2 linked regions of the Macaca mulatta genome follow. The protein of the gene in region 1 purifies or fractionates together with the protein of each later gene. This does not show direct contact. Links are inferred from orthologs where the notes say so. Each region holds a gene or a part of one and is shown on either strand. Other genes may lie near its edges.

Region 1 (5,014 bases):
TAGGATTGAACAGAGCACATGGTGTGTGCCAGGGATGTGCAGCGGTTCCAGAGGTGAATAAATGGATAGTCCCTCCTCTCCAGGAGCTGGCAACCTGTTGTTGGTATCAGGCTGTAGTGCCAGAGGGTGACATATACAGCTGGGGCTTCTAGGAAGATTGGGAGGGAGTGGAAAATTGGCCAGTGCAGTTGACGCATGAATAACAGAGGTTTGAACTTCAACCAAATGCCAATAAAAAAAGACAGCATTTACAGAATGTGAAACATTTATATGGAGGGCAGATTTTTCATATATGGGAATTCCACAAGGCTGACTGTAGGACCTGAGTATGTGTGGATTTTGGCATATGGGAGTGGTCCTGGAACCAATCCCGTGTTTACAGGGAGACAGCTGACTTAAAAAGCCGTCCTGCCTGAAGGCCAGGCAAGACAGGGAGTGTAAAGGAGAGGAAATAGTTTATACAAAAACCCAGATGCTGGAATAGTCAGGGAATTACATGTGGGCCAGTATTTTGAGAACGCAGTCTGGTCATGGGCCAGACTGTGAAGAGCTTTATATGCTGTATTCAAATCGTGTAGTGTAGGTGTCTTAGTTGCCTTGGAGGAAATGTGAACAGGCAGGTCACATTAGGCTTCTGTTTGGAAGACAGGTTTGGTAGCTGGAAGAAAGGGAGACTAGTGGCAGGAAGTTAAGATGTCAGAATTAAAGCAGTGACGGGGTAGGGGATAGAGAAGGGGTAGATGAATGTGCTGGAGCTAATGAGAAGCACAGTGTGCGCTGTTGTGTAGCTTGTGCACAGCCAGTTTATCACATTCTGTTCTTGTCAGCAGACTCATCTACACCATGATGCTTTATCTTTGAAATGCATGCGGGAAGAGAAGAGGGCAGAGCAATCACTGAAGGAGGTCCATGTGTTCTTCCTTGGGGTCAGGACACCGCCATCCTCCTCCCAGAGTCCTTTCTTTTTGTACCTCTTGGTCCTGTTTGTTGTGGTGTCCCTTCCTCCACTGCCTGTTAATTTGTCACTCTGCTGTGTAATATTGATAACTGACAAAAGTCAGCCATTGTTAGCATCAGTAGTCACACCAGCAGTCTTCTGAGTGCTTATCAGAGAAGTGAAGTTAGGTGGTTGGTTTGAGAAGGATATGATTACACACATGGGCATAATTCCATAGTGGATTACTAAAGAGAAAGTAGACAAAGATGGTGTCAGGAGTGGTATCTACTGTAGTCTTTGGTGTCATTTCATAAAAGTAAGTGTTCAGGCCTGTACAGTGGCTCACGCCTGTAATCCCAGCGCTTTGGGAGGCCGAGGCGGGTGGATCACGAGGTCAGGAGATTGAGACCATCCTGGCTAACACGGTGAAACCTCGTCTCTAATAAAGATACAAAAAAATTTGCTGGGTGTGGTGGCGGGCACAGTCCCATCTGCTCGGGAGGCTGAGGCAGGAGAATGGCGTGAACCCGGGAGGCGGAGCTTGCAGTGAGCCGAGATCATGCCACTGCACTCCAGCCTGGGCTGGACGGAGCGAGACTCTGTCTCAAAAAAAAAAAAAGTAAGTGTTCAGGCTTAGTGGATTGGACTCCTCTCACTGTTAGGGCAGGATGGTGAGCGAAATACACAGAATTCTATCACAGGGGACACACATGATCACAGATACAGTTTTGATCACTTTTTTTTTTTTTCCAGGTTCAACTTCTCGTCTTGTTGTTCTTCTTATACTATAGGCTGTTTGCTCTGGTTTAGTCAAAAAGCCATGTAGAATGCCTGCCTTTTGAAGACCAATTTTAAGGTGTCTAGTAATACAGCAGGTAAGTCTAGTAGGGAAAGCATGCTTAGGAGAATATTTTATGAGGAGAAAATTAAAAAAAAAATACTTGGAGTTCTTGAAGGAAATCTCTAAAAGTATACACGCCCTTATGGATATAACGTGTGATGTGCGCTAGATATACATAATTTGGGATATGAGAAGTGAATTCTGTAGCATTCTTTTTAGGTTTAAGTATGAGATTGGCCTGAAGAGCTGATGGTAGGCAGCGGGAAGAGGAGGGCTGGCTGGGAGGGATGGGGAATGGTAGGTGAGTCTGACTCAAACCCAGCACACCTGAGCTCTTAGTCTCTGTTGTAATTACAGTATGTAATATAGTGCTCTTTAATGTTAGCTTGGCTGTTCATTATTGCCAGTTATAGCTGCATGGGATTATTGAGACTTATTCTCCGGTTTCCCTTAAAGTCTTCTAGTTTTATTTAACAATGGGCTCTGAGACGGATGGTTAACCCATTATTTCTGCATGTATTCAATTACGTTTGTAAGTTAAAGATCATTTTTAGAGATTTTTCTTCAGTACTGAATTATTTATTTTTCTTTTGTTACAGTCCTAGTCCTAAAAACAATATTCTAAAATACAGAATAACTGCTGGCAACGCAGAAAGAGTAAATAGTTTCCAAAGAAAAGTATTTATTTCCTCAAATACCTGTTACCTTTTTAGCTTTAGACCAAAAAATAAAAAAGGCAAATGATATACCATGGATAAAAGTGTTAGGAAACAGTATTGTCGTTGAGAACATCTTTAAAAACAAGTTATCAAAGTTAGAAATATTATACTTTTTTTTTTTTTTTGAGACGCAGTCTCGCTCTGTCACCAGGCGGGAGTGCAGTGGCACAATCTCAGTTCACTGCAACCTCCAACTCCCTGGTTCAAGCGATTCTCCTGCCTCAGCCTCCCAAGTAGCTGGGACTACAGGCACACACCACCATGCCTGGCTAATTTTTGTATTTTTAGTAGAGACTAAATACATGTTGGCCACGATGGTGTGTCCCACCTATGAGTGAGAACATGCGGTGTTTGGTTTTCTGTTCTTGCGATAGTTTGCTGAGAGTGATGGTTTCCAGCATCCATGTCCCTACAAAGGACACTAAACACCATGTTGGCCACGATGGTCTTGATCTCCTGACCTTGTAATCCACCCACCCGGCCTCCCAAGTGCTGAGATTACAGGCGTGAGTCACTGCGCCCGGCCTATACATTTTTTTTTTTTTTTTTGAGACGGAGTCTCGCTGTGTCTCCCAGGCTGGAGTGCAGTGGCGTGATCTCGGCTCACTGCAAGCTCCGCCTCCCGGGTTCACGCCATTCTCCCGCCTCAGCCTCCCAAGTAGCTGAGACTACAGGCGCCCGCCACCACGCCCGGCTAGTTTTTTGTATTTTTAGTAGAGACGGGGTTTCACCATGTTAGCCAGGATAGTCTCGATCTCCTGACCTCGTGATCCCCCCGCCTCGGCCTCCCAAAGTGCTGGGATTACAGGCTTGAGCCACCGCGCCCGGCCTACATTTTTTTAAATTAATGGTTTTGTAATTAATAAAGGGAGAGCCAGAGTTTCTAATCTGTACCATTCTTTAAGATGCAGTAAATATCATTACCATCAATAAGGGAAAAGTGTTCAGTCTTTCTCATTAAGAGAAGCACATTAACACAGTAGTGAAATACTGGCTTTCACCTAGGTTGTAGCAAGGATTAGGAATTTATATGAAATTGTCTTTCATATATACACTGTTGTTTTGCAGTAATGTAAGTTTTCGAGAGTTTGGTAAAATGTATCAATTTTAAACACAAATGGCTAAGTAATCCATTTCTAGGAATTTTCCCTGCAGAAATAACCTTACATGCAAAGATAAGTACAAGGAAAGTCAGTGCTTACTCCATATGTAAAAATGTCTTAAAGAGATGAATTCTAAATGAGAGTAAGTTGCCAGATAATATGTTTAATATCCCATTTGTGTAAAGCATGTGTGTTAATCAATATATGCCTAGGACATTTCTTCCAGGACACATGAGTACACTGGCTACCCCTGCAGACTGACACTCCGTATCTTGTACTGTGTGAATGTGTTTTGTTTTTTTTTTATATTTTAAGTTCTAGGGTACGTGTGCACAACGTGCAGGTTTGTTACATATATATACATGTGCCATGTTGGTGTGCTGCACCCATTAACTCGTCATTTACATTAGGTATATCTCCTAATGCTATCCCTCCCCCTTCTCCCCTCCTCCCCCCCCACAATAGGCCCCGGTGTGTGATGTTCCCCTTCCTGTGTCCAAGTGATCTCATTGTTCAATTCCCACCTATGAGTGAGAACATGCGGTGTTTGGTTTTCTGTTCTTGCGATAGTTTGCTGAGAGTGATGGTTTCCAGCATCCATGTCCCTACAAAGGACACGAACTCATCCTTTTTTATGGCTGCATAGTATTCCATGGTGTATGTGTGCCACATTTTCTTAATCCAGTCTGTCACTGACGGACATTTGGGTTGATTCCAAGTCTTTGCTATTGTGAATAGTGCTGCAGTAAACATACGTGTGCATGTGTCTTTATAGCAGCATGATTTATAATCCTTTGGGCATATACCCAGTAATGGGATGGCTATGTCAAATGGTATTTCTAGTTCTAGATCCTTGAGGAATTGCCACACTGTTTTCCAGTGGTTGAACTAGTTTACAGTCCCATCAACAGTGTAAAAGTGTTCCTATTTCTCCACATCCTCTCCAGCACCTGTTGTTTCCTGACTTTTTAATGATTGCCATTCTAACTGGTGTGAGATGGTACCTCATTGTGGTTTGGATTTGCATTTCTCTGATGGCGAGTGAGGAGCATTTTTTCATGTGTCTGTTGGCTGTATGAATGTCTTCTTTTGAGAAGTGTCTTTTCATGTCCTTTGCCCACTTTTTGATGGGGTTGTTTGTTTTTTTCTTGTAAATTTGTTTGAGTTCTTTGTAGGTTCTGGATATTAGCCCTTTGTCAGATGAGTAGATTGCAAAAATTTTCTCCCATTCTGTAGGTTGCCTGTTCACTGTTATGGTAGTTTCTTTTGCTGTGCAGAAGCTCTTTAGTTTAATTAGATCCCATTTGTCAATTTTGGCTTTTGTTGCCGTTGCGTTTGGCATTTTAGACATGAAGTCCTTGCCCATGCCTATGTCCTGAATGGTATTACCTAGGTTTTCTTGTCGGGTTTTAAT
Region 2 (5,249 bases), on another chromosome or scaffold:
GCCAACATGGTGAAACCCTGTCTCTATTAAAGATACAAAAATTAGCCAGGCGTAGTGGCGGGCGCCTGTAATTCCACCTACTCAGGAGACTGTGACAGGAGAATTGCTTGAAACCCAGGGGAAGGAGGTTGCAGTGAGCCGAGATTGCACCACTTTACTCCAGCCTGGGCGAAGAACGAGACTCTGCCTCCAATAAACAAAAAAATTAGCTGGGCATGGTGGCGCATGCCTGTAATCCCAGCTACTCGGGAGGCTGAGGCAGGAGAATTGCTTGAACCCAAGAGGCAGAGGTTGCAGTGGGCTAAGATCGTACCATTGCACTCCAGCCTAGGAGATGAGAGCGAAAGCAAAACTCCATCTCAAAAAATCAAAAAATAAAAAATAAAAAGAAATGAAAAGAAAAATGGGCACAGTGGCTCACCCCTGTAATTCCAGCATTTTGGAAGGACGAGGTAGGAGAACTGCTTGAGCTCAGGAGTTCAAGACCAGGCCGGGCAACATAGTGAGACCTCATCTATACAAATAATAATAAAAAATTAGCCGGGCATGGTGGCATACACCTATGGTCCCAGCTACTTAGGAGGCTTGAATAGGAGGATCACTTGAGCCCAGGAGGTCGAGGCTGTCTTAATATTAAGACATGTGAGGCCAGGCATGGTGGCTCACACCTGTAATCCCAGCACTTTGGGAAGCCGAGGCGGGTGGATCATGAGGTCAGGAGTTCAAGACCAGCCTGACCAATATGGTCAAACCCCGTCTCTACTAAAAATACAAAAATTAGCCGGGCATGGTGGCACGTGCCTGTAATCCCAGCTAGTCAGTATGCAGTTTCTTGAGACTTTCCTGATGAGATCAGTGATGAATTTAATAAATGTGATTTTTTTTACATTGAATAAATGCATTAACATTGACTGATCTGCATAATTCTGTACCAGTATTTTTTAAATGGCTTCAGACTCCCTATTGCACTTAACCTTTTTTTTTTTTTTTTTTGAGATGGAGTCTCGCAGTGTCTCCCAGACTGGAGTGCAGTGGCGTGATCTCGGCTCACTGCAAGCTCCACCTCCTGGGTTCACGCTATTCTCCTGCCTCTCCTGCCTCAGCCTCCCGAGTAGCTGGGACTACAGGCGCCCGCCACCACGCCCGGCTAATTTTTTGTATTTTTAGTAGAGACAGGGTTTCACCGTGTTAGCCAGGATGGTCTCGATCTCCTGACCTTGTGATCCACCCGCCTCGGCCTCCCAAAGTGCTGGGATTATAGGTGTGAGCCACCACGCCTGGCCTGCACTTAACCTTTTTTTTTTTTTGAGACGGAGTCTCGCTCGGTAGCCCAGGCTGGAGTGAGTGGCCTGATCTCAGCTCACTGCAAGCTCCGCCTCCCGGGTTCCCGCCATTCTCCTGCCTCAGCCTCCCAAGTAGCTGGGACTACAGGCGCCCGCCACCTCGCCCAGCTAGTTTTTTGTATTTTTAGTAGAGACTAATACAAAAATACAAAAATTTTGTATTTTTAAAAATTTTGTAAAAATACAAAAATTTTGTATTTTTAGTAGAGACGGGGTTTCACCGTGTTAGCCAGGATGGTCTCGATCTCCTGACCTCGTGATCCGCCCGTCTCGGCCTCCCAAAGTGCTGGGATTACAGGCGTGAGCCACTGCGCCCGGCCCACTTAACCTTTAAGAAATGACTCCATCTCCAAGGTGGTGTGTACTTAAAAAATAAATAAATAAATAAATAAACACTTCCAGTCTCGGCAACATAGGGAGCCTCTATCTGTATAAAAATTAAAAAAATTAACCGAGTATGGTGGCACACACCTGTGGTCCCAGCAGCTCCAACGGCTGAGGTGGGAGGATGACTTGAGCCCTGGAGGTTGAGCCTGCAGTAAGCTGTGATCCTGCCACTGCACTCCAGCCTGGGCAACAGAGCAGGAACCTGTCTCAAAAAAACAAAGAAAAGTTACCATTTGTTGAATTTGGGTAGTATCAAAGAAGAATATTCAAAATTGTTTGAGAAGGCTAAATATACTCTTCCTTTTCTCAACTACATATCTATTTAAGGCTGAATTTTCTTAATGTACCAAAACAACAGAGCACAACAGAGAAAGGGGAAGCACATATGAGAATCCAGCTATCTTCCTTAATTTATTTTTATTTTTATTTTTTTACAATGGAGTCTCCCAGGCTGGAGTGTAATGGCGCAATCTTGGCTCACTGCAACCTCCGACTCCTGGGTTCAAGCAATCCCCCTGCGTCAGTCTCCTGAATAGCTGGGATTACAGGTGCCCATGACTATGCCCAACTAATTTTTGTAGTTTTAGTAGAGACAGGGTTTCACCGTGTTGGCCAGGCTGGTCTCGAACTCCTGACCTCAGGTAATCCACCCGCCTCCAGCTCCCAAAGCGGTGGAATTACAGGCGTGAGACACCGTGCTCGGCCCCTTTCTTTTCTTCCTTTTAGCTGTTTTTCTTTTTTTCAGACAGGGTCTTGCTCTGCAGAGATCAGGGCTCCCTGCGGCGTCGAACCCCTGGTTCAAGACTTCCTCCTGCCTCAGCCTCCCTAGTAGCTGGGACTACAGGCACATGCCACCACGCCTGGCTAATTTTTAAATTTTTTTTTTGCAGAGACGAGAGTCTCCCTAAATTTTGGTAGGGCGTGTCTCAAGACTAGCCTCAAACGATCCTCCCGCCTCGGCCTCTCTAATAAGTGTTGGGATTACAGGCGTGAGCCACCGCGCTAGACTTGCTGAAATTATCTTTAAATAAGTTGTTAAAAGACCATCGCAAAAGTCTTCAACACATTGAACGGTTTTCTCTTGCTCCCTAGCTGCATGATGCTGCTTCCAGTTTGTTTTGGTGTGAGCCATCTGAGTCGCCGGACCCTCTCGAGTCTGGCTTTCACTCTGACAATCGGTCAGTGGCTTTACGAATCGGAATCGGAGTCCCCTTGATAGCTCCGCTGGGGAACAACAAACTACGAGGTTCCAATGGTGACTCTCGAGACTTAGTGAGGATCCAGGGATGTGGGCTTCCTAAAGCCCCGAACCTCCCACACTGCAGACCGTACCTCGCATTAAGGGAACAAGAGTAACAATCCCCTCACACCCCTCTGCTCTCGCGACCCACTGGCTGACCGTTGCGGACGCCCCCTGGCCGCTGATTGGCTTCCCCTGACAGTGGGCGGAAAGCGGCCCCGGATTGGATATCCGAGCCCATTCGCCGTCCCTCACCCCGCACCTGCGTCCACTCTCTAGCGTCCCAAGTGAGTGGAGGGGGGATCCCGACTCCAGTCCCGGGCCTTGGCAAGCGGAACTGCGCCGTTCGGAAGCGGGAATCCCACTCAGAGCCCGGGCCTGTAAAGGCGGGGCGTCCTGGGCAGCCGGGGTTAGGGCGTCTCCCGTCGTGCACTGGGGCACCGGCGACTCACCCGGAAGGAGAAGCCGTGATCTGGCTATATGGTGGGGCGCGGGCGGTGTCGCTGTGGGGAGCTGGTGCTGTTCTCAGGTGAGAGTGCGTGGGCGGGGCCTCGGGGAGTAGGGGCTGCGCTCAGGTGAGGGGGCGTAGGCTTGAGCGTCAGTAGTGGCACTCGGGATGGTGGCATCGCTTTACATCCTAGGGAGGGACTCTCTTACCACCCGGCATTAAGGCAAGGGCTTGCTGGGGATCCAAAAACCGACTTTTCAGTTTACCTTCAAAGTATATCTTTCACTTCCTACTCCCCCGGCTTAATCGGAAAGGAAGAAGGATCATGTGGACCTTTCGGTCCTAGTTTGTTGCGAATGGAGGAGGAGTGATCGTAGTAAAAGACTGGGGACATTTACTTAAACGGCTAAGACTGGGGGCAATGGCGAGTATTTTACGTGGACACGGGAGACTTGCGGTAGATTGTGGTCGCCGTTGTTAATTACCTTCCAAGTGAAAGGAGTAGGTTAGAGATGGACAAAAAGATGGAGCATAACTGCTTGGTTGAGATCACACAAAGCTTGGTCAGAACTGGGAGCTTCCTCTATCTAGTACGTGTGATATTTATAATTGGAGGGAGAGCTTTTTGAATTGCTATCTGCCATCTGGCACTAAGGGCTCAAGATTGAGTAAGAAGGGACGGTAGTCTCAGTAGTTCCATCTACTTTAATCACCTGATTTTTTTCTTAACCTGTCTCTTGAAGTTGTTTAAATGGGAGAGAAAATAAATGGTGAGACTAAAGCCTTGTATTGTTACTATATTAGAAGCTTTACGATGAATCTACTTTGTAAACAGCAAACAATTGGGTACTCACCAGCGCTACTGGTGCTGGTACAGGTGAAGAAAGTGAAGGAAACTTCAGATGTGGTTGAAAGGGCCCAGGAAATGTAGTTAACACCGAGTTATGTAATTAGCTATGGTCACTGACTCTAGCCTTATTTGGATGACGTACAGATCCATCTCCCAGATTATAGAACTAAAGTTAGGAACTTTCTGCTTCTTCTCCAGAGGCAGAACTGAGCTTTTTCTTTTGAGGAGTGGTATCTGTGGGGAGGAATCTAATGAAGAATAGTGGTTGCTAGAAATTACTACTTGGTGTCTAGGTTTTTGTATTTGTTCCAGTGTTTGTTTGTTTGTTTTTGAGATAGGGTCTCGCTCTGTCGCCCAGGCTGGAGTGCAGTGGTGTGATCTTGGCTGACTGCAGCCTCTGCCTCCTGGGTTCAAGCGATTCTCATGCCTCAGTCTCCCGAGTAGCTGGGAGTACAGGCCCGTGCCACCATGCCCAGCTAATTTTTGTATTTTTAGTAGAGACGGAGTTTTTGCCGTGTTGGCCAGGCTGTTCTCGAACTCCTGGCCTCAAGTGTTCTGCCCGCCTCAGTTTCCCAAAGTGCTGGATTACAGGCAGGAGCCACTGCGCCGGCCCAGTGTTTTTAAGGACAGTTACAACTGCAACTTTCTTCCTTTTTTTTTTTTGAGACAGAGTCTCACTCTGTTGCCAGGCTGGAGTGCAGTGGTGCGATCTCTGCTCACTGCAGCCTCCACCTCCTGGGTTCAACTGATTCTCCTGCCTCAGTCTCCCAAGTAGCTGGGACTACAGGCACGCGCTACCACGCGCAGCTAATTTTTGTATTTTTAGTAGAGACGGGGTTTCACCATGTTGGCCAGGATGGTCTTGATCTCTTGACCTCGTGATCCGCCTGCCTGGGCCTCGCAAAGTGCTGGAATTACAGACATGAGCCGCCGTACCTGGCCCATCTGGAGGGTTTTTTTTTTTTGACAATGGAGTCTCGC

What was found. Proteins that work in one complex are often made in the same cells at the same time.
Region 2: the proteins of CHAMP1 (region 1) and CBX1 purify together in Homo sapiens (affinity purification with mass spectrometry; 6 studies listed by BioGRID and IntAct, with this or other methods). This does not show direct contact. The link is inferred for Macaca mulatta from reciprocal best matches to the Homo sapiens genes CHAMP1 and CBX1.

Annotation. Positions count from the first base shown.
Region 1 is NC_133422.1:108,394,905-108,399,918, forward strand, and holds the start of CHAMP1 (chromosome alignment-maintaining phosphoprotein 1), read left to right. Parts: upstream 1-1,713; 5' UTR 1,714-1,812; intron 1,813-5,014. UniProt on the Homo sapiens protein: Required for proper alignment of chromosomes at metaphase and their accurate segregation during mitosis. Involved in the maintenance of spindle microtubules attachment to the kinetochore during sister chromatid biorientation.
Region 2 is NC_133421.1:61,908,976-61,914,224, reverse strand, and holds the start of CBX1 (chromobox protein homolog 1), read right to left. Parts: upstream 3,145-5,249; 5' UTR 3,070-3,144; coding exon 3,063-3,069; intron 1,933-3,062; coding exon 1,815-1,932; intron 1-1,814. UniProt on the Homo sapiens protein: Component of heterochromatin. Recognizes and binds histone H3 tails methylated at 'Lys-9', leading to epigenetic repression. Interaction with lamin B receptor (LBR) can contribute to the association of the heterochromatin with the inner nuclear membrane.